4 linked regions of the Anolis sagrei genome follow. The protein of the gene in region 2 purifies or fractionates together with the protein of the main gene of each other region. This does not show direct contact. Links are inferred from orthologs where the notes say so. Each region holds a gene or a part of one and is shown on either strand. Other genes may lie near its edges. The genes, in order: CUL4B, EZH2, DDX5 and PHF19.

Region 1 (7,865 bases), on a different chromosome or scaffold from region 2:
GTGGTTCTCAACCTATGGGTCCCCAGGTGTTTTGGCCTACAACTCCCAGAAATCCCTGCTAGATTACCAGCTGTTAGGATTTCTGGGAGTTGAAGGCCAAAACCTCTGAGGGTTGAGAAACACTTCTCTAAAGCGTGTTTGGCTCGTCTCTGAAAGGTGATGCTTTTCTCAAAAGTTACGACCTCCAAAAGGTGTTATTTTTTCCTGAATGCCTTTTCCCAGAAGTGTTATGTTTTCTGCTGGGCCCCCCCCGCTTTTGGAATTCGTTGCCTAAAGAGATCAGGCAAGCCCCCACCCTAGCTGGTTTTAAGAAAGACCTAAAAGCCTGGCTCTTCCATTGTGCTTTTGGAGAATGACCATTCAACCCATCTGGTTGTCTTAGTCTACAGATACCCTCAGAACCAAGCATCCCCCCCGCCCCACCAAATGTCTAAATCCCATGGTTCCTCCCTGTTGGGCTCCTTTCCTACAAATGCACTTTCATCCCTATCTCACCCAGGGTTTTAACTTTTTAAACATTTTACCTCACATATTTGGCCCGCCCTCTGTGTCTAGTTTTAATATGCTGTTCTATATTGTTGATTTTGTTATTTTATATATTGTCATGATGTATTTTGTTACTGTGTGTTTATTATGTTGCATTCTTTTGGGCTTGGCCTCATGTTAGCCGCACCGAGTCCCCTTTGGGGAGATGGTAGGGGGTTATAAATAAAGTGTATTATTATTATTATTATTATTATTATTATTACCTTTAAAATTCTTGATGACTAACTTCTTGGCCGAGCCCGGTTTACTATTGGCAAAGCTGGAGACGCTGGACGAGGCGGCTTTGGTCAGGCCGTTCGCGTGGTGCCCAGTCTCCGGGCCTTAGTTTGAGGACCCCTGTTCTAGAGCAGTGGTTCTCAACCTATGGCTCCCCAGGTGTTTTGTCCTACAACTCCCAGAATTCCCAGTGAGTTTACTAACTGTTAGGATTTCTGGGAGTTGAAGGCCAAAACATCTGGGGACCCACAGGTTGAGAACCACTGATCTAGAAGGTAACAGTATAAAAATCTCAATAATGTTTTTGTTTTTTTTTGTATTATAGCTATGTTGATCACTATTCTTTTTCAATCTCTATATGCTGTATCCTGGAAAATAATGACTTTCTGTACGGTCATAATTTTTCAAAAAAATTAGATTTTCATTGTATTACATACACCAGTGTTTCTCAACCTGTGTGGCAAATTAGGTTCAAATCAATTGCCGGTGGAGTTCAGAATGCTCTTTGATTATAGGTGAACTATAAATCCCAGCAACTACAACTCCCAAATTACAAAATCAATCCCCCCCCCAACCCCATTAGCATTCACATTTGGGCATATTGGGTATTTGTGCCCAATTTAGTCCAGTGAAAATATATCCTGCATATCGGATATTTACATTACGATTTATAACAGTACTAAAATGACAGGTATCAAGTAGCAACGAAAACAATATGGTTGGGGGTCACCACACCACCAACCCCAGAGATCCCTCCGTTCTGAGGACCAAGATCTATTGGAAGTCCCCAGTGTCAAGACCTTGCATCTAACGGCAACCAGACGCAGAGCCTTCACAGCAGTGGCACCATCAGTCTGGAATGCTCTGCCACCTGAAGTTCATGCCCTGCAGGACTTACCAGCTTTCCGCAGGGCGTGTAAGACATACCTGTTTCGACAGGCTTTTAATGTTTGATACTGTTGTTTTTAAATTGTTTTAAATAGCTTTTAAACTTTGTTAGATTTAGCCGCTCCGAGCCCCAGAAGAGTGGCGGCATATAAGTTTAAATAATAAATAAATAAATAAAACATAGGGAACGGCATTAAGGGGTCACGGCATTAGCAAGGTTGAGAACCACTGGCTTAGAAACAAATATTTGAGAAACACTTCTCTAAAGCGTGTTTGGCTCTTCTCTGAAAGGTGACACTTTCCTCAAAAGTTACGATTTCCAAAATGTGTTTTTCTTTTCCTTTCTGAATGCCGTTTTCCAGAAGCGTTACCTTTAAAATTCTTGATGACTAACTTCTTGGCCGAGACTGGTTTACTATTGGCAAAGCTGGAGACGCTGGACGAGGCGGCTTTGGTCAGGCCGTTCGCGTGGTGCCCAGTCCCCGGGCCTTCGTTTGAGGACCCCTGTTCTAGAGCAGTGGTTCTCAGCCTGTGGGTTCCCAGGTGTTTTGGTCTACAACTCCCAGAATTCCCAGCCAGTTTACTAGCTGCTAGGATTTCTGGTAGTTGAAGGCCAAGACATCTGAGGGTTGAGAAGAGTGTGTTTGGCTCTTCTCTGAAAGGTGAAAGTTACGATTTCCAAAAGGTGTTTTTCCCCCCTGAATGTCGTTTTCCAGAAGCGTTACCTTTAAAATTCTTGATGACTAACTTCTTGGCCGAGCCCGGTTTACTATTGGCAAAGCTGGAGACGCTGGACGAGGCGGCTTTGGTCAGGCCGTTCGCGTGGTGTCCCGCGGCCACGGAAGAAAGGAGGAGGCTTTTGCTTTTGAGCTGTTGTTGTTGCTGCTGCTGCTGTTGGGAAGCAGACGAGGAAGACGAAGCCGGCGACGAAGTGGAGGAAGACTCCTCGGCCATCTTGACATCGAGTCCAATAAAATCCAAGGAGTCCTCAAAGCGGAGCTTCTTCTGCAAGTGGTGGTTGGAGGAAGACGAGGAGGAGGAGGAAGAGCAGGAGGTGGTAGCAATGGCTGAGGAAGAAGAGGAGGAGGAATGGTTCCTGGGGAGGAGAGAAGAGCAGGAGGAAGAAGAGGAGGAAGAGAGGGGCTCCGTCTCGTCCTTCTCGCTGTTGTTTAGCTTTCTCTTCTTGGAGGAAGAGGAGGAGGAAGACGACGAGGAAGAGGAGCTACTGCTGCTGCTACCATCAGTGGCAGGCCTGACCTCCTGAGCGGAAGAGAAACCTGTGGGAAACATGAACACCCCCGAGATGAGCCGCAGGCGGGCCAGAAGGACGGTCGGGCACCCGCTCTTCCTTCCTCCCTTCCTGCCTTCCTTCTCCCCGTGTCTCCGTCTCCCCTGCGAGGCCTGTCCGCCTCCCCAAGCAGGAGGCCAGCCCAGAGCCTTGTTATGGTCAGCACCACAGCCCGCTCAGGCAGGGCAGCCCCAAAAATGGCGGCGCTTCCGCCCGCGCGGCACGCCGGGAAGCCGACCCCGCCGGAAGTTGAGGAGGCGAGCAAGGAGGCGGAAGTGGCTCTCCTGCGCCCAGGCGGGGTCACGTGACGGCGCCTCCAGGCCTCCTCCACGGGGATGGCTCTGGCTCCCTTCCTTCCTTCCTCCCTTCCTTTTTGCAAGGCCAACACAGGGATGCTTCTACTCTTTCCATTCGTCCTTCTTTCTTTTTCCCTAGTTTCCTTCCCTTCTTTCCCTCTTTCCTTCTTCCCTTCTTCCTTCCTTTCTTCCTCCCTTCTTTCCTTCCCTTCTTTCCCTCTTTCCTTCTTCCCTTCTTCCTTCCTTCCTTCCTCCCTTCTTTCCTTCCTTCCCTCCCCCCTCCCTCCCTCCTTCCCTCCCTCCCTCCCTCCTTTCCTTCCTCCTTCCTTCCTTCCTTCCTTCCTTCCTTCCTTCCTTTCACAGGGATGCCTTGACTCTTTCCTTTCGTCCTTCTTTCTTCCTCCCTTCTTTCCTTCTTCCCTTCTTCCTCCCTTCTTCCCTTCCTTCCCTTCTTTTCTTTCCCTTCTTTCCTTTCACAGGGATGCTTTGACTCTTTCCTTCCGTCCTTCTTTCTTCCTTTCTTCCTCCCTTCTTTCTTTCCCTCTTTCCTTTCCTTCCTTTCTTTCACAGGGATGCTTTGACTCTTTCCTTCCGTCCTTCCTTCTTCCTTTCTTCCTCCCTTCTTTCCTTCCTTCCCTTCTTTCCTTTCCTTCTTTCCTTCCTTCCTTTCACAGGGATGCTTTGACTCTTTCCTTCCATCCTTCTTTCTTCCTTTCTTCCTCCCTTCCTTTGTCCTTCCATTCACAGGGATGCTTTGACTCCTTCCTTTCTTCCTCCCTTCTTTTCCTTCTTTCCTTCTTCCTTCCTTCCTCCTTCTTTCCTTTCTTCCTTCCACCCCCCCCCTTTCTCCCTACCTCCTGCCTTTCCTTCTTTCTTTCCTTCCTTCCTCCCTCCCTGCTTCCCCCTTCCTTCCTTCCCGCCCATCCTGTTTCCTTCCTTCCTTCCTTCCCACCCTCCTTCCCGCCCTCCTCCCTTCCCTCCCACCCTGCTTACCTCCTTCCTTCTCTTCCTCCTACCCTGCTTACCTCCTTTCTTTTCCTTCCTTTCCTCCCCACCCTGCTTATCTCTTTCCTTCCTGCCCTCCTCCCTTCCCTCCCACCCTCCTTCCCTCCCTCCTTCCCTCCCTCTTTCCCTCCCTGCCTGTTTCCCTCTCCTTCCTTCTGTTCTTTCTTCCTCCCTCCTTCCCCCTTCCTTCCTTCCCGCCCACCCTGCTTCCCCCCTCCCTCCCTCCCTCCCTCCCTCCCTCCCTTCCTTCCTGCCCTCTTTCCTTCCCTCCCACTCTGCTTACCTCCTTCCTTCTCTCCCTCCTACCCTGCTTACCTCCCTCCTTTTTTCCTTCCTTCTCTCCTTTCCTCCCTCCCACCCTGCTTATCTCTCTTCTTCCTTCCTTCTCTCCTTCCTCCGCCCCAACCTGCTTCCCTCCCCCCTTCCTTTTTTCCCTTCCTTCCCTCCCACCCTGCTTACCTCCTTCCTTCCCTGCTTCCCTCCCTCTTTTTCCTTCCTTCCCTTCTTTCTTCCCTCCCACCCTGCTTGCCAACCTCCTTCCTTCCCTCCCACCCACCCTGCTTACCTCCCCCACCCTGCTTACCCCCTCCTTTCTTTTCTCCCTTCTTTCCTTTCTTCCTTCCTTCCCTCCCTCACTCCTTCCCTGCCTGTTTCCCTTTCTCCTTCCTTCCTTCCTTCCTTCCTTCCTTCCTTCATTCATTCATTCTTTCCTTCCTTCTGAACCCCAAAACTCCAGATGATGTATCCCAGTGGCTTCATGTAGATCGGTTGTTCCCAACCTTTTGGACCCCTGACCAACAATAGTACCAAAAGGATTACAGATCAGTTTTTGGTCAACTTTAGATTCGGTTTGGTTATTTGGGGTGCTTATTCAGAAAATTGGACAAACCACCTCAGCTCTAGTTTCTAATGCAGAACATATTCTACCCAGTAGTCACCATCTGCTCATCCACAGAAAACCATATTTGATAATCTAGAGATGATGTGGTAGTAGTAATCTTTCGTGGGTAGTCAGCCTCTCCCTCCCGACATACCCGTTGCCTAAGAGAGTTTCATGAGACCAGTCATGTGGTTTTGAGACAACAGTGTAGTAACAGTAAGGCCGTGGACCATATTTTCATTCTTGCAGACCACTGGTGGTCCACAGGCTACAGTTTGGGAACCACTGAGGTAGACGTTGAATAACATTGGGGATAGCAATGAGTCCTGTGGAAGACCACAACCCACCAGCCATGAGGTCGAGCAGGACTCCCCCAGGACCACCTTCTGGGAACGGCCTGAGAAGAAGGATTAGAACCACCATAGCACATTGCCTTCTAACCCCATTCCCTCAAGCCTTCCCAGAAGGATACCATGATTGATGGTATTGAAGGCCACTGAGAGGTCCAGGACGGTTAATAGGGTCAGACTCCCCTGATCAAGTTCTCCGTGTAGATCATACACCAAAGTGACCAAAGCTTTTTCTGTTCCACGTCCCAGTCTAAAGCCAGATTGATTCGGACAGTCAACCTGATCCAGAAATCCGTATGGTAGTGTACATCCAGCCTGCCATTTTTGACAAGGACTGAGCCCAACTCCTTTCATAGTATACAACTAGAGTAGAAAGTAGCATGACAACGATAGTCTACAATGCATTATTTGTATGTCGTTGAAAGTGAGTCCAATCACATCAGTCCCTCGCATGAATCTGAACTGAAGGCAGGTTTCCATTGCTGTGGGCTGGAAAGGCAGGGCATGTTTATACGAAATAAAAGCTGGGTATAATAATAATAATAATATAGACGTGGATTCAGTGGATCAAAGACGAGCTTGAAGAGAAAGAATGATAATTTGATTTAATTTTATTTCACCTCTTTTATTGTGATGCATTATTAAATACATTAATAAATGATAAGTTATTTATTTTCATTAATCTATATAAATCAAAATGTAATGTTCATTTGTGCGATTAACAGAACTCAAAAACCACTGGACGAATTGACACCAAATTTGGACACAAGACACCTAACAACTCAATGTATGTCCTTCACTCAAAAAAATGATTTTGTCATTTGGGAGTTGTAGTTGCTGGGATTTATAGTTCACCTACAATCAAAGAGCATTCTGAACCCCATCAACGATGGAATGGAACCAAACTTGGCACACAGTTCTCCCATGACCAACAGAAAATACTGGAAAGGTTTGGTGGGCAGTGTCCTTTAGTTTTGGAGTTGTAGTTTGCCTACATCCAGAGAGCACTGTGGACTCAAAAAAGGATGGATTTGGACCAAACTTGGCACAAGCACTCAATACGCCCAAATATGAACACAGATGGAGTTTGGAGGAAATAGACCTTGACATTTGGGAGTTGTAGTCACTGGGATTCACAGTTCACCTACAATCAAAGAGTGTTCTGAACCCCACGAACGACAGAATCGGGGCAAACGTCTCACACAGAACCCCCATGACCAACACCAATACTTAAGGCCATCCAGTCCAACTCCCTTCCCCAGGGCATGAAAACGCAATTAAAGCCCTCCTGATAAAAAGCCATCCAGCCATAGATAAAGATATATATGATTCACACACACAGAGAGATAATATCATAGATTTGAAAGGGACCCCTAAAGAAGGACAATGATATGTTGAATGTTCCAGAGTTGGCAAACCAGACACTCTCCACATCAACGCAAAGAAACAGAAAAAGAAAAACAGTTTACCCACAAGCATCAAGATATTTCATATTTTAGAAACCAACACTTTCTCATTACTTTATTTTCCAGATCAACAGACTGGGCCACAGCAACGCCTGGCAGGGGACAGCTAGTAAATAATAAGTTATTTGCAGATTATTCAAAAATAATAGTAATAAATAAATTAATAAAATATTTAAAATTGAACACATAAAATTTAAGTCAACATTGGCATGTTTTCAAGCTGCTAGGATGGCAGGAGCTGGGCCTAACAACGGGAGCTCAACCTGTTCCCGGATTCGAAGTGCCGACTTTCCGGTCAGCAAGTTCAGCAGCTTAGACATTTAACCTGCTGCACCATTATTATTTATTAATTATTAAATACATTTTAATTGTTATCTCATTTAATGGTTAATTGTGTGTTAAATTTTAAACGATTTATTAATAAATAATTTAATATTACTATTTTTACAACTAAACAATTATTTATGAAAATGATGTATTTATTTATAAATAATAATATATTAGTAATGTGTGAAAAGAAATAAACATATTTATTATTAATCTATTAATAAACAAAGGATTGTTTATGAAAACAAATTGTTATTCATAAATAACAATATTAGTCATTTGTGAAATGAAATAAACATATTTATTATTTACTTGTTATTAATTACAAATAATAAACCTTTTACTGTATATGAAAACCATTATTGATTAATTTATTATTCATAAATAATAAATTATTAATCTATTAATAAACAAAGGATTGTTTATGAAAACAAATTGTTATTCATAAATAATAATATTTGTCATTTGTGAAACGTATTTATTATTTACTTGTTATTAATTACAAATAATAAACCTTTTACTGTATATGAAAACCATTATTGATTAATTTATTATTCATAAGTAATAAATTACGTATTAGGCATTTATGAAAATAGATGTATT
Region 2 (7,960 bases):
AAAAGACACTACAATACATGCACAATAACAACTCCCTTTAGCAAACAAAACACACAATAGCATATCCACCCTCTCTTCTGGACTACAGTTCCCAGTATCCCCTAGACCCGGCCCTTTAGAGGAGGAGGATGAGCCAAATGCACTGCTTCCAAGCTGCAAGCATTCTTCTCCTTGGATGTCTTTGAAAGCATCCCAATCCCTGCATATTTCCAATTTCCTATTCCTGGACTGCAACTCCCAGCAATCCTCCAGATAGATAAGATAGATAGACAAATAGGTATGTGGATAGATTGATCAGAAGGAGTGCTGGGAGGTGCAGTCCAAGAATAGGCAGAGAAGGAAGAAAGCGGAGAAAGAGGAAGGGAAAGAAAAGGGGGGAAGGAAGGGAAGAGGAAGACAAGGAAGGAAAGAATGAAAGAAAGGGAAGGAAGGAGAAAGAAAAGAGGAGAGAAAGAGGGAGGGAAGGTTGGCCACAGCAACACATGGCAGGTACAGATAGCAAATAAATAAATATTGATACAAGCTGACCCATTTGAGGGTAGGGAGGGGGGATTCAAAGGGAAACTAACATTCTATATTGAAAAAGTAAAAACTGAAACTGTAACATAGTTACAAAAATTGAAAATAGTCATCTATATTAATTCATATACTGTCAAAGTTTGTACTATGATGTATTGTTAACTGCATGGTTTTCAAAAAAAGTAAACAAATAAGGGGAGGGGAAACTACCTTACACCTAGCTGAACGTTGTTTTTTCTGGTAAGCCATGTCTTATCATGATATGACCCTCACTGTGGAAGAACATGCGTGTCAAGAAGAGGGCTCTATAGCCACCTAGATATCCACCACCAAGACACAACACTTGAAGGGCCAACATATTCTGGCAAGGAGAGATCACCTAAGTCAGTGCTTCTCAACCTTCCTAATGCCACGCTCCCTTAATACGCTTCCTCATGTTATGGTGACACCCAACCATAAAATTAGTTCCATTGCTACTTCATAACTGCCATTTTGCTGCTGTTATGAATAGTAATGTAAATATCTGATATGCAGGATGTATTTTCATACACTGGACCAAATTTGGCACAAATACCCAATACACCCAAATTTTGAATACTGGTGGGATTGGGGGAGGGTACTGATTTTGTCCTGTGGGAGTTGTAGTTGCTGGGATTTATAGCTCACCTACAATCAAAGAGCATTCTGAACTCCACCAAGGATGGAATTGAATCAAACTTGGCACACAGAACTCCCATGACCAATAGAAAATACTGAAAGGGTTTGGTGGGCATTGACCTTGAGTTTTGGGAGTTGTAGTCAGAGGCGGCCCTAGGTAATTTTCAACGGTAAGCAAACCAACCCACCCACCCACTCATTGATATATATTTTCTGTTCATCATGGAAGTTCTGTGTGCCCTATTTGGTTCAATTCCATCATTGGTAGAGTTCAGAATGCTCTTTGATTTTAGGTGAACTATACATCCCAGTAACTACAACTCGCATATGTCAAGGTCTATTTTCCCCCAAGAGCGCCCCTGGTTGTAGTTCACCTACATCCAGAGAGCATTGTGGACTCAAACAATGATGGATCTGGACCAAACTTGGCACGAATTCTCAATATGCCCAAATGTAAACACTGGTGGAGTTTGGGGAAAATAGACCTTGACATTTGAGAGTTGTAAGTGCTGGGATATATAGTTCACCTACAATCAAAGGCACGCATTCTCAATATGCCCAAATGTAAACACTGGTGGAGTTTTGGGGAAATAGACCTTGACATTTGAGAGTTATAAGTGCTCCAAAAAATTGACGAATTTGTGATCATCCAGCGGCTCCTACACAATTATATGATAACAGGATTTATAGTTCACCTACAATCAAAGGCACGAATTCTCAATATGCCCAAATTCTCAATATTCCCCAAACTGGTGGGGTTGGGAGGAAATAGACCTTGATATTTGGGAGTTGTAGTTGCTGGGATTTATAGTTCACCTACCATCAAAGGCCCGAATTCTCAATATGCCCAAATGTAAACACTGGTGGAGTTGGGGGAAAACAGACCTTGACATTTGAGAGTTGTAGTTGCTGGGATTTATAGTTCACCTACAATCAAAGGCATGAATTCTCAATATGCTCAAATGTAAACACTGGTGGAGTTTGGGGAAAACAGACCTTGACATTTGGGAGTTGTAGTTGCTGGGATTTATAGTTTACCTACAATCAAAGGGACGAATTCTCAATATGCCCAAATGTAAACACTGGCGGAGTTTGGGGAAAATAGACCTTGACATTTGAGAGTTGTAGTTGCTGGGATTTACAGTTCACCTACAATCAAAGGCACGGATTCTCAATATGCCCAAATGTAAACACTGGTGGGGTTGGGTGAAAATAGACCTTGACATTTGAGAGTTGTAAGTGCTGGGATTTATAGTTCACCTACAATCAAAGGCACGAATTCTCAATATGCTCAAATGTAAACACTGGTGGAGTTTGGGGAAAACAGACCTTGATATTTGGGAGTTGTAGTTGCTGGGATTTATAGTTTACCTACAATCAAAGGCACGAATTCTCAATATGCCCAAATGTAATCACTGGCGGAGTTTGGGGAAAATAGACCTTGACATTTGAGAGTTGTAAGTGCTGGGATTTATAGTTCACCTACAACCAAAGAGCATTCTGAACCCTACCAAGGATTGAATTGGGCCAAACTTCCCACACAGAACCTCCCTGAGCAAGAGAAAATACTGTGTTTTCTGGTGGTCTTTGGTGACCCCTCTGGCGACCCCTCCAGGGATCCCGACCCCCAGGTTGAGAAACACTGGCCTAAGTAATGCCAATGAGTAATGTCTCTCTCCCTCCCTCCCAATGAGGCGCCCTCACCTGCTCACGAGCACGACTTCAGTCATTTCCACCTGTTTTCCCCGTAGCATGTTCATTTTCCCGGGCTCTTCATTCACTCTCCTGTAGACTAGCTTCGCCTCTCCCCGCTTACCTTTCCCATTCTCTCCCCATTGAGGAAGGCCCCGCCCCACCTGTCTTTCACAGGAAGCCACGCCCCCTCGCTCACTTGTAGGCGCCCCTCCCCCCCCTCCCACCCCCAAGCACGACAAAGAACTCGAAGCGGGTGTGTCTGCCTGTCTCTGTCCGGCTCCCTCACTCGCTCGCGCGCTTACCCCCTCCTCGCCGGGCCCGCGGCGCCCCTCTCTCGGCTCGCCTCCCGTCCGTCACGCCGCCCCGCTCACTTCTCCCTTCTTCTCCTTCTTCTTTCCTCCTCCTCCTCCTCTTCTTCGGCTCCGGACAACAGAGCGCCAAACCCGGCGGCGGCCAAATGGCCCCGGCTCTCATTGGAGAGAAGCTGCCGTCGTCCGGATTGGACGAACCGCGCTCTCCCCGCCCCCCCGTAGCCGGGTCTCAGCCAATCCTCGGCGTCCTGGGCCCGAGGGGCGGGGGCTTGCGCGCGCCCCCCACGTGCAGGGCGGGAAAGAGGGGGAAGTTCTTTGTTCTCGCGCTGTTTAGAAGAAGGCGGGAGTTGCCTCGGTTCCTCTTTTTCAAATGTGGTTTCTTCGCTGGGCGCGCGGGGCAAGCTCTCTCCCTCAGGAGGAAGTGGACCGCCTCAGCCCCGTTGCAAGGCAGGAGGGCGGGAGGCCGTTAACGGTTCTAACAGCCGTGGCTGCCTTTGCGCGCGCGCGGCCGGGGGGAATGGGGGAGCCTGGCCGCCCCTCAGGCGGGGCTCTGCGCCCGGCCCCCTCGACGCCTGTTGCTGGATTTGGGGGGGGGGGGGGGGAGGCCTGTTTCCACAAACAGTCGGGTCTGGCTTACAGTTGAGGTGCGTCTCTCTCTCTGCTGCTGCTGTTAGGAGCCACCATTGTTGTGGAGGTACAGAACCATCTTGAATCCGACTATCTATATAAATCACACGCATAAAGACATTACATATATTAGAAGCCAACACTTTCTCATTACTTTATTTTCCAGATCACCAGACTAGGCCACAGCAACACTTGGCAGGGGACAGCTAGTATATATAAAGAAAAAGGTAATGTTCGTTTGTGGTATTCACAGAAGTCAAAAACCACTAGATGAATTGACACCAAATTTGGAAACAAGACACCTAACAACCCAATGTATGTCCTTCACTCAAAGAAATTGATTTTGTCATTTGGGAGTTGTAGTTGCTGGGATTTATTGTTTACCTACAATCAAAGCATTCTGAACTCCACCAATGATGGAATTGGGCCAAATTTGGCACGAATATTCCATATGCCCAAATATGAACACAGATGGAGTTTGGAGGAAATAGACATTGGGGATTTCTAGTAATGTAATCAGAGCCATCCAGTCATAAAGATAGATACGATTCTCTCTCTCACACACACACACAGATATAGTATCATAGATTTGAAAGGGACCCTTAAAGAAGGACTATGATATGTTGCATCCTTGAAGTGACTGGACTGACCTTGAAGGAGCTGGGGGTGGTGACGGCCGACAGGAAGCTCTGGCGTGGGCTGGTCCATGAGGTCACGAAGAGTTGGAGGCGACTGAACGAATGAACAACAACATGATATGTTGCGTGTTCCACAGTAGGCAAACCAGACAATCGCCACATCAACACTGGCAAAGAAACTGCAAGAAATACTATTTACTCACAAGCATAAAGACATTACATATATTGGAAACCAACACTTCTCATTGCTTTATTTTCCAGATCACCAGACAGCCACAGCAACGCGTGGCAGGTGACAGCTTGTTGTTGTTCATTCATTCAGTCGTCTCTGACTCTTCGTGACCTCATGGACCAGCCCACGCCAGGGCTCCCTGTCGGCCGTCACCACCCCCAGCTCCTTCAAGGTCAGTCCAGTCACTTCAAGGATGCCATCCATCCATCTTGCCCTTGGTCGGCCCCTCTTCCTTTTACCTTCTACTTTCCCCAGCATAATTGTCTTCTCTAGGCTTTGCTGTCTCCTCATGATGTGGCCAAAGTACTTCAGCTTTGTCTCTAGTATCCTTCACTCCAATGAGCAGTCGGGCTTCATTTCCGGAGGATGGACTGGTTGGATCTTCTCACAGTCCAAGGCACTCTCAGAACTTTCCTCCAACACCACAGCTCAAAAGCATCGATCTTCCCTAAGGTCCAGCTCTCACGTCCATAGGTTACTACAGGGAATACCATGGCTTTGGCTGCTGCTGTTAGGAGCCACCATTGTTGTGTAGGTACAGAACCATCTTGAATCCGACTATTATTACTATTTATTTATATTTTTATCCCGCTTTTCTCCCATACCTGGGAGAACTGTGGTTAAAACAACAGAAATCCCATGACACAAAAAGCACAACATCACCTCCCCACAAAAAAAACATAAACAAATAGCACCTTGCATAAACCAGAAACAACAAATAATAATAAGTACCAAACATGTGCGCCAGCTGCGCCCGTACCTTGGGAAGTCTGACTTGACCATGGTAGTCCACACTCTGGTTACATCCCACATAGATTACTGCAACGCACTCTACGTGGGGTTGCCTTTGAAGACTACTCGGAAGCTTCAAATGGTTCGGCGCTCCGCAGCCAGGTTGCTAACAGGAACGGCACTCAGGGAGCATACCACTCCTCTCTTGTGCCAGCTCCACTGGCTGCCAATCTGCTACCGGGCACAATTCAAGGTGCTGGCGTTAGCCTATAAAGCCCTAAACGGTTCCGGCCCTACTTACCTCTCCGAACGCATCTCCACCTATGAACCGACTAGGACATTAAAATCATCTGGGGAGGCCCTGCTCTCGATCCCGCCTGCATCACAGGCGCGTTTGGCGGGGACGAGGGACAGGGCCTTCTCGGTGGTGGCCCCTCGGCTGTGGAATGCCTTACCTGTAGACATCAGAAAGGCCCCTTCGCTGTTGGCGTTCCGGAGGAAGGTTAAGACTTGGCTTTACGAACAAGCGTTTGGCTAAACAGTGCAAATGAATACAGGAAAACGGTAAAATCGAACATAGGAAAAAGGTACAAGGATTATGAGAACGGATTCTGATTTGCTGTTGAGGCGTTATGATATGATAATGATTGTTTTTGATTTTGTCTGTTATGGGGCCTGCATCAATAGGAGCATAGTGTCTAGATCTAGGGAAGTAATGCTACCCCTCTATTCTGCTTTGGTTAGACCACACCTGGAATATTGTGTCCAATTCTGGGCACCACAATTCAAGAGAGATGTTGACAAGCTGGAATGTGTCCAGGGGAGGGCGACTAAAATGATCAAGGGTCTGGAGAACAAGCCCCATGAGGAGCGGCTTAAGGAGCTGGACACATTTAGCCTGAAGAAGAGAAGGCTGAGAGGGGATATGATAGCCATGTATAAATATGTGAGAGGAAGCCACAGGGAGGAGGGAGCAAGCTTGTTTTCTCCTTCCCTGGAGACTAGGACGTGGAACAATGGCTTCAAGCTACAAGAGAGGATATTCTATCTGAACATGAGGAAGAACTTCCTGACTGTGAGAGCCGTTCAGCAGTGGAACTCTCTGCCCCGGAGTGTGGTGGAGGCTCCTTCTTTGGAAGCTTTTAAACAGAGGCTGGATGGCCATCTGTCAGGGGTGATTTGAATGCAATATTCCTGCTTCTTGGCAGAATGGGGTTGGACTGGATGGCCCATGAGGTCTCTTCCAACTCTTGATTCTATGAGTCTATGAGTCTATGTATAATGTGTTTTAATTGCTTATGATACTGTTGTGATAACCTGTATTATGTAAACCGCATTGAGTCGCCTAACGGGCTGAGAAAAGCGGTATAGAAATAAAGTAAATAAATAAATAATAAAGTGTTCCGCCTTGGATTAGACCACACCTGGAATATTGTGTCCAATTCTGGGCACCACAATTGAAGAGACAAACTGGAATGTGCCCCGAGGAGGGCGACTAAAATGATCAAGGGTCTGGAGAACAAGCCCTATGAGGAGCAGCTTAAGGAGCTGGGCATGATTAGCCTGAAGAAGAGAAGGTTGAGCGGAGACATGATAGCCATATATAAGTATGTGAGAAGAAGCCACAGGGAGGAGGGAGAAAGTTTGTTTTCTGCTGCCCTGAGAGGGATGAGAGGAGAAGTCACAGGTCCACAGTTTGGGGGTCCTCCTGGACTCATCACTGTCGCTTGAAGCTCAGGTGTCGGCGGTGGCCGGGAGGGCCTTTGCACAATTAAGACTCGTGCGCCAACTGCAACCGTACCTCGTAAAGGCGAATCTGGCCAGGGTGGTCCACACCTTAGTCACTTCCAGATTGGACTACTGTAATGCACTCTACCTGGGGCTGCCCTTGAAAACGGCCCGGAAATTTTAATTGGTCCAACGAGCGGCAGCCCGGTTGCTAACTGGTGCTTCTTACAGAGAGAGGTCAACCCTCCTGTTTAAAGAGCTTCACTGGCTGCCTTTCATTTTCCGGTCCCAATTCAAGGTGCAGGTGCTTACCTACAAAGCCCTAAACAGTTTGGAAACTGCCTACCTGTGTGACCGCATCTCTGTGTACGAACCCACACGATCTCTTTGTTCATCTGGAGAGGCCCTGCTCACGATCCCACCTGCATCGCAAGCGCGATTGGTGGGGACGAGGGATAGGGCTTTCTCTGTGGTGGCCCTTTGACTCTGGAACTCTCTCCCCAAAGACATGAGGCAGGCCCCATCACTAGCAATCTTTAGGAGGAGCTTGAAAACGTGGTTGTTCCAGTGTGCCTTCCCAGAATAGGAAACTCCTAGCATTATGTCCCAACGCACTTTATCAGAGATCTAGGATATCTGCATGCCCATCCCCCTCCAAACACTCTACATGGTCATGCCCAACACTTTTAATTTTAATTGTTACATTTGGCCCTGCCATTGTTTTTAATTGTGTCATTGTGTGTTGTCAATGTTATTGCTTTGTTTTCTGAGTTATTTTGCTGTCTGTTGTTGTTGTTTTTACTATTTTATTTGGGCTCGGC
Region 3 (7,777 bases), on a different chromosome or scaffold from region 2:
GAAATTCAATGTACAGATTTGATAAATGTTAATTTAATAATTATGTGTGGGAATGAATGGAAGAATGGAAGTTGTATGTGTGGAATTAATAATTTTGGAGACCCTACTAAAATACTAAGGCCTTGGGATCCTGGAATTTGTAGTTTGGTGAGGACACAGCACTCTTGCAGAGAAGGCTAAAGAAAAACCTTGAAAAACAACAGTATTTATGGTATCATAGCTTTAAGCCATGGCAGTGAAAGTGGTGTCAAACTGCCATAATTCTACAGTGTAGCAGCACCTATAATTTGAATTATTTGAATCTAGGCCCTCTGTGGCGGTTGTATTCTCTTCCCTTGTGAAAGATGGCAATGCAGTGACTGCCTAGTACTGCAAGAGCCCCATTTAATCCATTGTCTAAAGGGGGGTTACACTTTCTTTCCAGCTGTACTCTGTTCCATCAATATTGTGAGTGCTCTCCTCCTTCAGTTTCATGTTTTCATTTACGAGCAATATAAAATAATGTATTAGAATTGCTGCTACACCTTTTCCATTGCTCTCTTCACTTCCGGCATATAAACAGGCAACATGTTAACCCCTCCTGGGTGTCTTTGTATTGACAGGCAAAGCCCTGTAATTTTTTTTTTTTTTTGCAGACTTTGAGCACTAAAGGTTTCCAAGACCTTTAGTACTCAAAGTTTGCAAAAAAAATATACTGCTATGTAATTAATTTTCTGAGTCCAGATGATCTGCTTTGAACCTGATTATATGGCAGCGTAGGTCCAGCCTCTGTTGATAATCCAGTTCAAAGCAAATCATCTGGATTCAGAAACTGGATTACATAGTAACCTAAGAAAATAACTTTTAAGAGGACATTGTCTTGTTTTGTGTGTTGAAACTCAACCAGAGCAAAATTTTATAAGACTGCACCATTTTGAATGGTTTTTACCCATTGACTTGTACATTTTAAATTGTTTCTATGTTAATGTTGATCTTTTGTATGTTTCAACTATTCTGCAATCGATGTAACTGATGGTGATGATAAGTGGATAAATTGCTACTATTGCCAAAACATTGCTTTGCAGATTCGATTGACAAGGTTTGACATGATAATGCAGAAAATTACAACAGGGAGTCCCCAAATTACAAACATCAGACTTACAAATGACTCATAGTTAAGGAGGGTGAGACAACAGGAAGTGAGAGAAATCTACTCTTCGGAAAGAAAATTCACTCCTTATAGTGGGAAAAAGGTGTTTCCACTTAAGCTTTCTCCCCAATCTTTGTTTCCACAACAAACTATTTTTTTTTCAAAATCCAATTATCACAGGGACAGAAGGTGAGGTGAAATCTTCTGAACAGGGTCACGGGCAGCAAAACAAACACCACAGGGCTATTAACTTTTCCCTATGCTGTCCAAAGCTTATAGAAATATGTGGCTGGAGTTACATTTCAAAATGTATGTGTTCTTACATACAAATTTAACTTAAGAATAAACGTACAGAAACTGTCTTCTTTGTAACTTGGGGACTGCCTGTAATGGCCTCGTCTTATAATCATGCAAGCGGTACAGGGAAAATATAGACTTGCTTGTGAGTGCCTTTGTTCTAGTGTAATTGAGCTTTTTGGGGTGTTATTTTGGAGTGATTTCACGATGGAACATCTCAAAGGTCGGTATACTTTTTTCAGCTGGGACTACTATGCTTTTAATTGACAAGTCAAATCTAGAAAATTCTAGTTACCCCAGCAAAGCAATGGAGTGACAGGAGAAAGTTTATCTATTGAAGCTGTGTTGGATTTGAACAATTAAAAGCGTAGGAACCCAACTAGGAGGAGGAAGAGCAGCATCTAACTGCTCAGGGGATCATGAATGCCTTTAGATTGCTTCATAATAGATTTATCACAATTATGTGCCCCTCTGACTTCACAGCAAGGTCTTTATAAAATCCTGGGGATACTGTTGGCCCAGTTTGATTGTGCAGCTGTCATTGGATGCATCTACACTGTAGAATCAATGCAGTCTGATACCACTGAATGTGATGGAATCACTGGAGTTATAGTTTCCCAAGGTCTTTAGCCTTCTGTGGGATCTTGCCAAACTACAAATCCCATCATCCTACAGAACTGGGCCACATCAGGTAAAGTGGTTTCAAACTGGATTAATTATACAACATAGATACACACAGTTAATCTGGATACTTAGCTTGTACAACTGCAGTTTATCAAACCTATCTTGAGGGAAAAGTTATTATGAATCTCGTAATATTTGTGTGCTATGTATAGCATACAATCTTCTATACACAATCTTCTTCCTGATGGAAACAGCAACCTTCTCAAGCCTCTAGTCTACTGGTTATTTGTTATGTATATAATTGCTTACTATATTTATTTGTGTATTGGTATGCAATTTGACCTTAATTCTTTGTTGTGGGAGGGGCTGCAGACATTGTGACACTTAAAACGTTAGCATATAAAATATAAATTCATATCAAGTCAATAAAAACAATAAAAACGTATATCCTCAGCATCTCCTTACTGAAATAATTATTCAATCACATCGTCAGTTATCAATGTTTCTTCAATAAATATTTTCCCATCTGCTTTTAAAAATGTTACTTTTCCTTAGGCCTTTTTAAACCTGTAAATTAAATGTTAATTTATCATTTACTGCTCATTTCCATATTTCCTTATACTATTCTTCTACCTTAATTTCTACTCCTCCTTTCCCATTTTGTGTTATTAATAGCCTTGTTAGATGCTGGTGTAATGTCAGGAGATAATGCTTCTGAAACATGACCATACAGCCTGGAAAACTCATAGCAACCGGTTCACAACATCGTTATCAAATTCTTTATGATTCTAGATTATCTGCTTTGAATTGGATTGGTCCCCACTGCCAAATAATCTGGGATAATCAGATAATCTTGGATGTAGATCCAGCCTGAGATCATATAATACAGTCCTAACTGCATGAAATGACTGTGTAGATAGGGTGATAGGCCCCAACTAAACTCTGATATAATCCATTTTATAATATATATATTTATAATGTATATTTTACAATATAATGGGTAAAAACAATTCAAAATGGCGCAGTCTTATAAAATTTTGCTCTGGTTGAGTTTCAATCATTATAATTTATATTTTACTAGCTGTCCCCTGCCATGCATTGCTGTGGCCCAGTCTGTTGATCTGGAAAATAAAGTAATGAGAAAATGTTGGTTTCTAATATATGTAATTTGTTTATGGTTGTGGGTAAGCATATTTCTTGCTGTTTCTTTGTCAGTGTTGATGCGGAGAGTGTCTGGTTTGCCCACCCTGGAACATATAGGATATCATTGTCCTTCTTTAGGGGTCCCTTTCAAATCTATGATACTATATCTCTCTCTGTGTGAATCATATCTATCTATCTATCTATTCCTTGATGGCTCTTTGTCAGGAGGACTTTGATCATGTTTTCTTGCCCTGATGAAGGGAGTTGGGTTAGATGGCCTTAAGTATTTTCTGTTGGTCGTGGGTGTTCTGTGTGGGAAGTTTGCCCCAATTCTGTCGTTCGTGGGGTTCAGAATGCTCTTTGATTGTAGGTGAACTGTGAATCCCAGTGACTACAACTCCCAAATGTCAAGGTCTGTTTCCTCCAAACTCCATCTGTGTTCATATTTGGGCGTATTGAGTGCTTGTGCCAAGTTTGGTCCAGATCCATCATTGTATGAGTCCATAGTGCTTTCTGGATGTAAGTGAACTACAACTCCCAAACTCAAAGTCAATGCCCACCAAACCCTTCCAGTATTTTTTGTTTGGCATGGGTGTCCTGTGTGCCAAGATTGGTTCAATTCCATCGTTGATAAGAGTTCAGAATGCTCTTCGATTATAGGTGAACTATAAATCCCAGCAACTACAACTCCCAAATGACAAAATCATAATTTTTGAGTGGTCACTCCTTGTGTTGTAAGAAGTTTTGTTGCCAAATTTGGTATAATTTCGTTCACTGCTTCTTTTGTTTTTAAGATGCTCATTATCCACAGAGCATTTTTATAGATATAGATAATAATAATATAAATATAATCCTCCTAGGGCCTTTCCACACAGCCATATAACCCAGAATATGAAGGCAGGAAATCTCACGTTATCTGCTTTGAACTAGAATATATGGCAGTGTGGACTGAAATAACACAGTTCAAAGGCGATATTGTGGGATTTCCTGCCTTGAGATTCTGGGTTATATGGCTGTACGGAAGGGCCCCTAGCCAACAAGAGAGGATGCGTGACAAACGTCCTCACGTACAGGAACCAAGCAGGGTCAGTGCCCGGAGCCGAATGAGAGCCGGTCTGCGCATGCGCGCTCAGAGCTGCGTGGGCGTCAGCCGTGGAGGCCGAGCCAAGCCTCACAAGGCGCCCTGGGCTCCAGCGGCTACTAGGCCGAGTGGGAAGCCCCGCCCCTTTTTGTCCGAAGGAGCCGAAAAGCCGGCCGGCTCCAGCTCCTGCGCTCCTTATAGGCCGAAAGAGGTGCCCATCACTGTAGCCCCGCCCCATCGCCTTTGAAAAAAAAGGAAGAACGTTGGAAGTGGAATCTGGAGGGAGGGGCGGGGCTCTTTAGTGACGTCACGAGCCGGCTTCCCGGCATTCGCGGCGGCGCCGGCTATATAACCGGCATCCGCCCGGCGAGACACTCCCCATTCAGTCGCCCCCGCCATCGGCTTTGCGGTTGATCCCAGCCTGCTTGTGTCCCTCGCCGTTCCGTCGTTCAAGGCCCTTTCTTCGTCGTCAGCATGCCTGGCTATTCCAGCGACAGGGACCGCGGGTGAGACCTGAGGGGGCTCTTTTGAAGGATGAACTCTGACGGGGAAGAGCGGGGGGGGGGGGGCTCTAAAATGGCGGCGGGGGGAGCCGGGGGTATTTAAAATGGCGGCGGGGGGAGCCGAGAGTGGCCAAAATGGCGGCGGGGGCGTTTGGGAAAAAGGAGAGGCGTGGGGGGGAATTCAGAAACGGGTTGAGTCTGGGAGGGGGAAGGAAAAGGGAATGGTTAAATATCTGAAAGGATTGTGGTGGGGAAATAGAAGGACCTCCTTTTCCTCCTCTCTTTTGTCTCTCGTCCCCGCCATGCGGTGGCTGAGGGGAAATCAAAATGCCGGCGGCTGCCTCCTTTGTTCCTCCTCTCTCTCCTTTCTCTCCTTATCCCCGCCCCGGCGTTAAAATGGACGCGCGCCGGCTTAGAAAATGTGGCGTAGACGGGGGAAAATAGGCCCTCAAAGCAAGGGGAGCCCCTCCTGTCCAGCTACCCGCCTTCCAGGCTTCCCTTTCCGTCCCTCTTCCTCCATTCCTTCCAGACAAAAGCTGAGCGGGGACGGATTTACTCCTCGGCTGGGGTTTTAGAGGAGACTTTCGATGGAAAAAGGGGGAGGGGGGTTGCGCATGCGCAGTGGCGCCTTGGCGTTTTTCTCCCTCTGTGAAAGAACCCTAGAGTTGAAGGGCCAATCCAGTTCAACCCCGTCCTGCCTGCCACGCGGGGATACACCATCCAATCACTCCCGACAGATAGCCATCTGCTTTGAAAAAACTCAAATTATGTGTTATGGTGGAACTCCTGAGATGTGGATGTTTATGTATGGTTCTCAAGAAAAGAAAAGAAAAGAAAAGAAAGGGAGAAAAAGGGGGGAAAAAGAAAAGAGAAGGGAAAGAATTTTTTTAAAAAGAAAAACTCCAGAGAAGGAAAGTCCACCATGCTTCCTTTTTTTTAAAAAAAAAAGAAGAAATATAATCCCCTTTGTTCTTTAAAAAAAAAGCTGCTTACCGGAATTGTGTCGGTTTCACAATCCTCCCCCACCCACTTTGAGGCACTCCCTCTCTGCGTCAAGACACTCAACAATTACGGAACAATTTTTTTAAAAAAAACAACACACATCCTTAACAGTTCAAGCTTTTTGTCCTGTATCACAGTGCATAGATTATAGATTGTAGTCTATACTATAGTCTATATAGGCTATATAATAGTCTATATAGACTATATAATAGTCTATATAAATAATTCCAACTCCCTTCATCAGGGCAAGAAAACGCAATCCAAGCCCTCCTGACGAATTGCCATCCAGCCATAGATATCTATATAAATAAAAATGTAATGTTCGTTTGTGGGATTAACAGAACTCAAAAACCACTAGACGAATTGACACCAAATTTGGCCACAAGTCACCTACTAACCCAAGGAGTGACCATCACTCCAATAAATTGATATTGTTATTTGGGAATTGTAGTTGCTGCAATTTATAGTTAACGTACAATCACAGAGCATTCTGAACCCCACCAACGATAGAATTGGGCCAAACCTCCCACACAGAATCCCCATGGAGATGGCTAGTCTATATAAATAAAAATGTAATGTTCGTTTTTGGGATCAACAGAACTCAAAAACGACTGGACGAACTGACACCAAATTTGGACACAAGACACCTAACATCCCAATGTATGTCCTTCACTCAAAAAAGTTGATTTTCTCACCAAAAATGGCAGTGAACCAAACGTGGCATACAGGACTCCCATGACCAACAGAAAACACTAGAAGAGTTTGGTGGGCATTGACCTTGAGTTTGGGAGTTGTAGTTCACCTATATCCAGAGAGCACTGTGGACTCAAACAATGATGGATCTGGACCAAACCTGGCACAAATATTCCATATGCCCAACTAGGAACACAGATGGAGTTTAGGGAAAATAGACCTTGACATTTGGAAGTTCTGGTTACTGGGATTTATAGTTCACCTACAATCAAAGAGCATTCTGAATCCCACAAACGATAGTATTGGGCCAAACCTCCCACACACAACCCCCATGACCACCAGAGTGGCCCACAGCAACACGTGGCAGGGGGCAGCTAGTAATAATAAAACTTTATTTATACCCCGCCATTATCTCCCCAAGGGAACTTGGGGCAACTTACATTAGGCCAAGCTCAATAAAATGCAGTTGCTTTGCTTGTCCTCTAAATCTTGGATGTTTTAATATTTGGATGTTGATAGTGATATATTAATATCACTACCACAATTAATTAATATTATTAATTATATATTTTTATTTAGAAGAAGAATATTGTATGCTACTATAAGTTTCTATCCACCTTATTGAACCACCCTATCTCTTAACCAGTTCGCATAGTGGCCTCCCCCCCTCCCTAAAATTAATCTGCTGTTGTTTTTTATAGTTGTTTATTACTGTTTATGATATTTTATGCTATTTTGTTATTGTTTTGTTTTTAATTGTATGTTGCCTTGGGCTTGGCCACATGTAAGCCACCAAGAGTCCCTTCGGGGTAGAAAAATAAAGTTACGATACTATACAATCATGTATAGTAACATTTACGATATTTCTACCCTACCTTTCTCAAACCCACAGGTGGCAAATGATATGATTAGAGCGATAGTATTATTATTATTATTAATAACTTTGTTTATATTCCACATCTCCCAAAAGGGACTTGGTGTGGCTTCCAAAAGCATGTGTTAGTGCAGTGCTATATGTACAATACAGTAAAACGAATTAATGGCACTCCATGCAGTCATGCTGGCCACATGACCTTGGAGGCGTCTACAGACAACGCTGGCTTAGAAATGGTGCTCATCTCCAGCTTAGAAATGGAGATGAGCACCAACCCCCAGAGTTGGACTCAATTAGACTGAATGTCAAGGGGAAACATTTGCATTTTACTGAAACACTTAACAATTGTAAAACAATAGCAATGTTAGTAACATCAAATGGATGTACAAAAAAACAGCATTTAAAAACTCCTAGTTAAAATACTCAATAAA
Region 4 (8,096 bases), on a different chromosome or scaffold from region 2:
TCTCCCTCTTCCTTGTGCTGCTCCGAGGGGAATACGACGCCCTGCTCCAGTGGCCCTTCGCACACGAGGTACAGAGACGGGGCTTTTCCTTGCCTGGTGTATATGTGTATAATATATCTATATAAGTAAAAATGTAATCTTTGTTTGTGGGATTAACATAATTCAAAAACCACTGGATGAATTGACACCAAATTTGGACACAATACAGCTATCAGGCCAACGAGTGACCATCACTCATAAAAACACTGAAAAACACAGCAGAAGAGACTTTAAAAGCCAAAAAACAAAAAAATACATTACAACGCATGCGCAAAACCACATATATACCCGAACACACATATTTACATATATACACAAATATATAAACACATATGCATATATATACACACAAAACACATATACACAGAAAGGGGGAAGGAAGGAAGGAAGGAAAGAAGGAGAGAAAGAAAGAAAGAAAGAAAGAAAGAAAGAAAGAGAAGGAACGAAGGAGAGAAGGAAATAAAAAGGTGAAAGAAGGAAGGAAGGAGAGAGGGAAGAAAGGAGAGAAGGAATAAAAGAGAGAAAGAGGGAGGGAGAGAGGAAGGAAGGAAGGAGAGAAAGAGGGAAAGAAGGAGGGAAGGAGAGAAAGAAAGAAAGAAAGGTAGAGAAGGAAGGAAGGAGAGAAGGAAATAAAAAAGTGAAAGAAGGAAGGAAAGAGAGAGGGAAGGAAGGAAGGAGAGAATGAATGAAAGAGAGAAAGAGGGAGGGAGGGAAGGGAGGGGAGAAGGAAAGATGGAACCAAAAAGCAAAGGAAGGGAGGAAAGAAACAGGTAGAGAAGGAAGAAAGAAGGGAAAGAAAAAGAGGGAAGGAAGGAAAGAATGAAAGGAAGGAAGGAAGGAAGGAAGGAAGGAAGGAGAGTAAGAGGGAGGGAGGATTGGCCACAACAATGCGTGGCAGGAACAGCTAGTATCTATATAAATAAAAATGTAATCTTTGTTTGTGGGATTAACATAGCTCAAAAACTAATGGACAAATTGCTGCCAAATTTGGCTACAAGACACCTACTAACCCAAGGAGTGACAATCACTCAAAAAATTTGATTTTGTCATTTGGGAGTTGTAGTCGCTGGGATTTATAGTTATTCTACAATCAGCCCCCCCCCCCCCCCCAATTCTCAGGATGGTCCACGAGATGGCCTTACTGGTACATTACTTAAACTGTTATGTTTATTCGTATCATGATCTGATCACCATGCTCAAAATATCCCCTATGCATGGGGGTATTGGGGTAACAATACAAAAGGTTTGCTAGGGTAGATCCTGACCCTCCCCCCCCCCCAAAAAAAACAAACTCAGCCCCCTCCCCCGAATCAAAATCCTGGCTACGGGCCTGCTGGACATCATCCCACAGATATATAAACCCCATTTTCCTAGTTCCCAACAGGCCTCACAACCTCTGCCATAGATGGAGGTGAAATTTCAGGAGAGAATGCTTCTGGAACATGGCCAGGCAGCTTGGAAATCTCACAACCACCCTAGATAAAATATTGTATAGAACTTCAGAATTATGCAAAGGGTGCAAACTCAAAATGACGACATGGCAACTGTGTGTTATTATATCGTCCGTGTGTCCAATGTGCAGAATGTAGCCAAAGCTTGTTTGTTGTTGAAGAGACCGTTTATCAAGGTTTGTATGTAACCACCATTTCCAGGCATGTAATGTTGCATTTCTAGCAGGACATAAACAGAGCTCAGTAAACAATCCAGGCCAGGGAGAGATGTCAGGGTTTGTCAGGACGGAGTTAGGTTCAACATCTCATTGAATCTTGAATGCTTATGTATACACTTCTTAAATGAGAGCCACGGCTTGGCCTGGAGAAGGCTCGAAATGGATTTGAGTTTCACAATATTTTGCTTGGGCAGCTTTGCCCAATCTCTTGCATCTGGCTTTGTTTTCCCATCTGGTGGCCCTGAAATGTGGGAACGACCGCTTTTGCTTATGCAACAAGCACCTGCCCTTGCAGCACACAGATTTATGGAGGTTACATTGAAAATTGAAAAAAGTGGAGCAAGAAAAGAAACATAGAGTAAAAAACACCCAAAAAAATCCAGGAAAAAATACGAAAACAGAAAGTAAAAGTAGATGACCTCCATCCTATTCTCATCTGACCAAAAGTAAACAATAAGAGACCTCGTGGGCCATCCAGTCCATTCCCATTCTGCCAAGAAGCAGGAAAATCACATTCAAAGCACCCCCAACATCTGCTTAAAAGCCTCCAAAGAAGCAGCCTCCACCACACTCCAGGCCAGAGAGTTCCACTGCTGAACGGCTCTCACAATTACAAAGTTCTTCCAAATGTTCAGGTGGGATCTCCTTTCTTTCCAGTAGTTTGAAGCCACTGTTCCACGTCCTAGTCTCCAGGGCAGCAGAAAACACGATTATTCCCTCCTGACTTCCCCTCCCATCTTCATCCATGTCTCCTCTCAGCCTTCTCTTCTGCAGGATAAACATGCCCAGCTCTTTCAGCCTCTCCTCATAGGGTTTCTTCTCCAGACCCTTGATCCATTGAGTCGCCCTCCTTGGGACACATTCCAGCTTAGAGTCAACATCTCCTTTCAATTGCGGTGCCCAGAATCAGACGCAGTGTGATTCCGGGTGTGCTCTGACCAAGGCATTATTTTCGTTGCTACTACGTAAAAGTAAAGGTTTTCTCCTGACATTAAGTCCAGTCATGTCCGACGTTGGGGTGTGGTGCTCATCTCCATTTCTAAGCCGGAGAGCCAGCATTGTCCATAGACACCTCCAAGGTCATGTGGCCTGCATGACTGCATGGAGCGCCCTTACCTTCCCATTGATCTACTCACATTTGCATGTTTTCGAACTGCTAGGTTGGCAGAAGCTGGGGCTGACAGCGGAAGCTCATCCCACTCCCCAGATTCGAACCTGCGACCTTTCGGTCAGCAAGCTCAGCAGCTCAGTGCTTTAATCCACTGCACCACCGGGGGCTCCAACATAATTGTAATTTTGCTACTTTCGTTGTTACTACATAGTTGTTATTTTCATTGCTACTACGTAATTGTAATTTTGCTACTGTTATGAATTGACATGTAAATATCGGATATGCAGGATGTATTTTCATTTACTGGACCAAATTTGGCACAAATACCCGACATGCCCCAATTTGAATGCTGGTGGGGTCTGGTGGGGAGTAGATTTTATCATTTGGGAGTTGTAGTTGCTCGGATTTAAAGTTCACCTACAATCAAAGAGCATTCTGAACTCCACCAATGATGAAATTGAACCAAACTTGGCACACAGAACTCTTACGACCAAGAGAAAATACTAGAAGGGTTTGGTGGGCATTGACCTTGAGTTCTGGAGTTTTAGTTCACTTACATCCAGAGATCACTGTAAATTCAAACAATGATGGATCTGGAACAAACTTGGCACAAATACTCAATATGCCCAAATGTGAACACTGTTGGAGATTGGGGAAAATAGACCTTGACATTTGGGAGTTGTAGTTGCTGGGATTTATAGTTAACCTACAATTAAAGAGCATTCTGAACCCCACCAACAAGAGAATGGGGCCAAACCTCCCACTCTGAACCTTCATGACCAACAGGAAATACTGTGTTTTTCTAATGGTCTTTGGTGACCCCTCCTGACCCCCAGGTTGAGAAACACTGTGCTAAAGCCTGGCCCATATTTGCACTATGTAACACTATGATACAACCAATAGTGAAAGGACCAAGGCAGTGACATCTCCGGCTCACCCCCTGTTTGGGTATCAGCCAGCACGCCAACAACTTAAATGAAGAAGTAGCTTCCTAAGATCTACAGAGACATTTGCTGGAACACCTCAGCAAGCAAGAGTCCAAAAGTGGCAGGCTCAAACCCAGAACCTCAACCAATGGCTGATACCAAATGAGAGACTCCCCCCTGGGCACACAGAAGACTGGGTGACTTGGAAGGCGCTGAACAGACTGCGCTCTGGCACCACGAGATGCAGAGCCAACCTTAAGAAATAGGGCCACAAAGTGGAATCCACGACATGGGAATGTGGAGAAGAGCAAACCACTGACCATCTGCTGCAATGCAACCTGAGCCCTGCCACATACACCATGGAGGACCTCCTTGTGGCAACATCACAAGCACTCCAAGTAGCCAGCTACTGGTCAAAGGATATTTAACCAACTACCAAACTTGCAAATTTTGTATTTTGTCTGTTTGTTTTGTTCTGTTAGAAATGTAATACAATTGACTGGTTTTCCTGACACAACAAATAAATACTTCAGGTTTATTTTGTTTTCCCATTTTCAGTAAAGATGAAGATGTCTTATTTTATGTTTATTACAAAGACTGTGTAAATATGTTGCACTGCTGGGTTTTGTGTGCAGCATTGCCAGTTTTGTTTCATCTCTGCAAAGTAAAGAGAGTAAAGATTTTCTGTTCACTTTGACTATTGGCCTGAGACTATTTGCATTTGTATTGTCGAAGGCTTTCATGGCCGGAATCACTGGGTTGTTGCAGGTTTTTTCAGGCTATGTGGCCATGTTCTAGAGGCATTCTCTCCTGACGTTTTGCCTGCATCTATGGCAAACATCCTCAGAGGTAGTGAGGTCTTTTGCATTTGGGTTTTGGGCGCTGGGACGTTGGGTTAAAATATGCACTGTGTAACAGTTGTGGCAACCACACAAACAAGCCACCTGAGCCATTCTGCTTGTCTTTTCCCAGGTCACGTTCATGCTGCTGAGTCAAAACAACACAGAAGATCATGTCAGCACCATCCACCCGGATCCAGCATCACCTTCCTTCCAGAGGCCCATGACGGATATGAACGAAGCCAGTGGCTTTCCCAAATTCATCCTGTTGGCTAAGTTACAGTCACCGAAATACGCCTATCTCAAAGAGGGCACCCTTTTCCTCCGGTGTATCACACAAGCCCATCCGTGAATCTTGCTCTTGGTAGTTTTCAAGCAGCGGAAACGGCAGAAGCATCTCAAGCAGCAGAGCTTGACCATGAACCACCATCAAGGACTGCTGTTGGTAGCGATGAGAACAGAAGTTGGTGGATATGGATCGAAAGAGCGGACAGAGGTTTGGGACTCTCCTTGGGAAAATGTCTTGCGTCAATGCATCCAGAATTGGACATAATCTATATATATAAAAATGTTCTGTTCGTTTTGAGTGACATCATAACTCAAAATCTGTTGGACGAATTGGCTCCAAATTTGGCCACAAGGCACCTACTAACCCAAGGAGTGACCATCACTCAAAATATTGATTTTGTCATTTGGGAGTTGAGTTTTGGAATTGTAGTTTGCCTACTTCCAGAACTGACCTTGATTTATAGGAGTTGTAGTTCACCTACATCCAGAGAGCACTGCAGACTCAAACAATGATGGATCTGGACCAAACATGGCACCAATACTCAATATGCCCAAATGTGAACACTGTTGGAGTTTGGGGAAAATAGACCTTGACATTTGTGAGTTGTATTTGCTGGGATGTATAGTTCACCTCCAATCAAAGAGCATTCTGAACTCCACCAACAACGGAATTTAACCAAACTTGGCACACTGAACTCCCATGACCAACAGAAAACACTAGAAGGGTTTGGTGGGCATTGTCCTTGGGTTTGGGAGTTGTAGTTCACCTACATCCAGAGAAACTGTGACCTTCATCGACAATGGACTGGGATCAAATTTGGCGCAGAAAATCACCATGACTACTTAACCAAGTGTACTGGAGACGGTTGGGGTGAATTGACCTTAATTTTTGGGAGTTGTAGTTCACCTGTGGACTCAAACAATGAAGGATCTAGACCAAACTTGGCATGACTACTCCATATGCCCAAATATGAACACAGATGGAGTTTGGGGGAAATAGAGCTTGACATTTGGGAGTTGTAGTTACTGGGATTTATAGTTCACCGATAATCAAAGAGCATTCTGACTCCCACCAACGACAAAATGGGGCCAAACTTCCCACACAGAACCTCAATGACCAACAGAAAATACTGTGTTTTTGGTGGTCTTTGGTGACCCTTCTGATACCCCCTCATGACCCCCCCCCCCCCGGGGTCTTGATTTCCCAGGTTGAGAAATGCTGCCTTAAGGCCATCCAGTTCAACTCCTTTGACCAGGGCAAGAAAACATAATCAAAGCCCTCCTGACAAAGAGCCATCCAGCTATAGATATATTTGACTCTCTCTCTCTCTCCCACACACACATATGTATATGACACATATAGTATCATAGATTTGAAAGGGACCCCTAATGAACAATTACATGTTGCATGTTCAAGAGTAGGCAAACCAGACAATCACCACATCAACACTGGCAAAGAAACAGCAAGAAATACTGGTTCCTCACAAGCAGAAAGATATGACATATATTAGAAACCAACACTTTCTCATTACTTTATTTTCCACATCACCAGACTGGGCCACAGCAATGCCTGGCAGGGGATGGCTAGTATTGTATAACATTGTTGTTGTTGTTATTATTATTATTATTATTATTATTATCATCATCATCATAATCATTATTATTAAACTTTATTTGTACCCCACTAGAATCTCCCGAAGGACTCGATTCGGCTTACAAAGGCCAAGGCCTCAACACAACAACAGCATAATGAAACAACTCAAAGCAAAATCAAAAACATAAAGCAATCATAACAAAACATAGTAGTAGTCCATAAATATGATTATAATATTGCCCGAAAGAGTTAATAATAAATATAAATAAATACGTAATGTTCGTTTGTGGGATTAACAGAACTCAAAACCCACTGGACGAACTGACACCAAATTTGGACACAAGACACCTAACAATCCAATGTATGTCCTTCACTCAAAAAAACAAAACAAAACGATTTTGTCATTTGGGAGTTGTAGTTGCTGGGATTTATAGTTCACCAGTACATTCTGAACCCCACCAACGATGGAATTGAACCAAACTTGGCACACAGTTCTTCTATAACCAACAGAAAATACTGGAAGGGTTTGGTGGGCAGTGTCCTTTGGTTTTGGAGTTCTAGTTCACCTACATCCAGAAAGCACTGTGGACTCAAACAATGATGGATCTGGACCAAACTCTACACCAGTGTTTCTCAACCTTCCTAATGCTGTGACCCCTTAATACAGTTTCTCATGTTATGGTGACCCCCCAACCATAACATTATTTTCGTTGCTACTTCATAAATGCAATTTTGCTACCGTTACGAATCGTAATGTAAATATCTGATATGTAGGATGTATTTTCATTTGCTGGACCAAATTTGGCACAAATACATGATACGCCCTAATTTGAATACTGGTGGGATTGGGCGGGAAATTGATTTTGCCATTTGGGAGTTATAGTTGCTGGGATTTATAGTTCACCTACAATCAAAGAGCATTCTGAACTCCACCAACAATGGAATTGAACCAAACTTGGCACACAGAACTCCCATGACCAACAGAAAATACTGGAAGGGTTTTGTGAGGATTGATCTTGATTTTGGAGTTGTAGTTCACCTACATCCAGAGATCACTGTGGACTCAAACAATTATGGATCTGGACCAAACTCTACACGAATACTCAATATGCCCAAATGTGAACACTGGTGGAGTTTGGGGAAAATAGAATCTTGACATTTGGGAGTTGTAGTGGCTGGGATTTGTAGTTCACATACAATCAAAGAGCATTCTGAACCCCACCAATGATATAATTGGGCCAAAACTCCCACACAGAACACCTATGTGGGCCACAGCAACGTGTGGCTGGTGACGGCTAGTACAGCATAAAACTGATCATAATGTTCATCATAATCTATATCTATATGCGTATGTACGTTGTGTGGCTGGGCTGCCCACTTCCACAGACAGGCTCCCAGTTCCACAAACAGCTGAGGGTTAAATTCCCAACTAGATGTATCTGCAATCGATCAGTCAAGTGCTTCTGTGTACAAGAACTGTCACTGCATCCACATCATTATCACGCAGATTTGTTTGATGCGCACTTCAGGGTTGCGGACGGATTGCATGCTTGGAAATAAAGTTTCGGGAAAACCAAAACAGGCCAAAACACAAAATGAGAGTGGATTATAGTTTGATCCAAAGCATTCT

Evidence for each region.
Region 1: the proteins of EZH2 (region 2) and CUL4B purify together in Homo sapiens (affinity purification with mass spectrometry; 4 studies listed by BioGRID and IntAct, with this or other methods). This does not show direct contact. The link is inferred for Anolis sagrei from reciprocal best matches to the Homo sapiens genes EZH2 and CUL4B.
Region 3: the proteins of EZH2 (region 2) and DDX5 purify together in Homo sapiens (affinity purification with mass spectrometry; 4 studies listed by BioGRID, with this or other methods). This does not show direct contact. The link is inferred for Anolis sagrei from reciprocal best matches to the Homo sapiens genes EZH2 and DDX5.
Region 4: the proteins of EZH2 (region 2) and PHF19 purify together in Homo sapiens (affinity purification with mass spectrometry; 10 studies listed by BioGRID and IntAct, counting the BioPlex papers as one, with this or other methods). This does not show direct contact. The link is inferred for Anolis sagrei from reciprocal best matches to the Homo sapiens genes EZH2 and PHF19.

Annotation. Positions count from the first base shown.
Region 1 is NC_090030.1:3,459,934-3,467,798, forward strand, and holds the start of CUL4B (cullin-4B), read right to left. Parts: upstream 3,166-7,865; 5' UTR 2,941-3,165; coding exon 2,376-2,940; intron 850-2,375; exon of another isoform or gene 750-849; intron 1-749.
Region 2 is NC_090026.1:63,278,596-63,286,555, reverse strand, and holds the start of EZH2 (histone-lysine N-methyltransferase EZH2), read right to left. Parts: upstream 3,018-7,960; 5' UTR 2,937-3,017; coding exon 2,881-2,936; intron 1-2,880. UniProt on the Homo sapiens protein: Polycomb group (PcG) protein. Catalytic subunit of the PRC2/EED-EZH2 complex, which methylates 'Lys-9' (H3K9me) and 'Lys-27' (H3K27me) of histone H3, leading to transcriptional repression of the affected target gene.
Region 3 is NC_090022.1:179,768,249-179,776,025, reverse strand, and holds the start of DDX5 (probable ATP-dependent RNA helicase DDX5), read left to right. Parts: upstream 1-4,627; 5' UTR 4,628-4,748; coding exon 4,749-4,780; intron 4,781-7,777. UniProt on the Homo sapiens protein: Involved in the alternative regulation of pre-mRNA splicing; its RNA helicase activity is necessary for increasing tau exon 10 inclusion and occurs in a RBM4-dependent manner. Binds to the tau pre-mRNA in the stem-loop region downstream of exon 10.
Region 4 is NC_090031.1:8,752,159-8,760,254, forward strand, and holds the start of PHF19 (PHD finger protein 19), read left to right. Parts: upstream 1-5,035; coding exon 5,036-5,080; exon of another isoform or gene 5,081-5,550; intron 5,551-8,096. Other genes in the region: TRAF1 (TNF receptor-associated factor 1), read left to right, coding at 1-68, 4,718-4,936.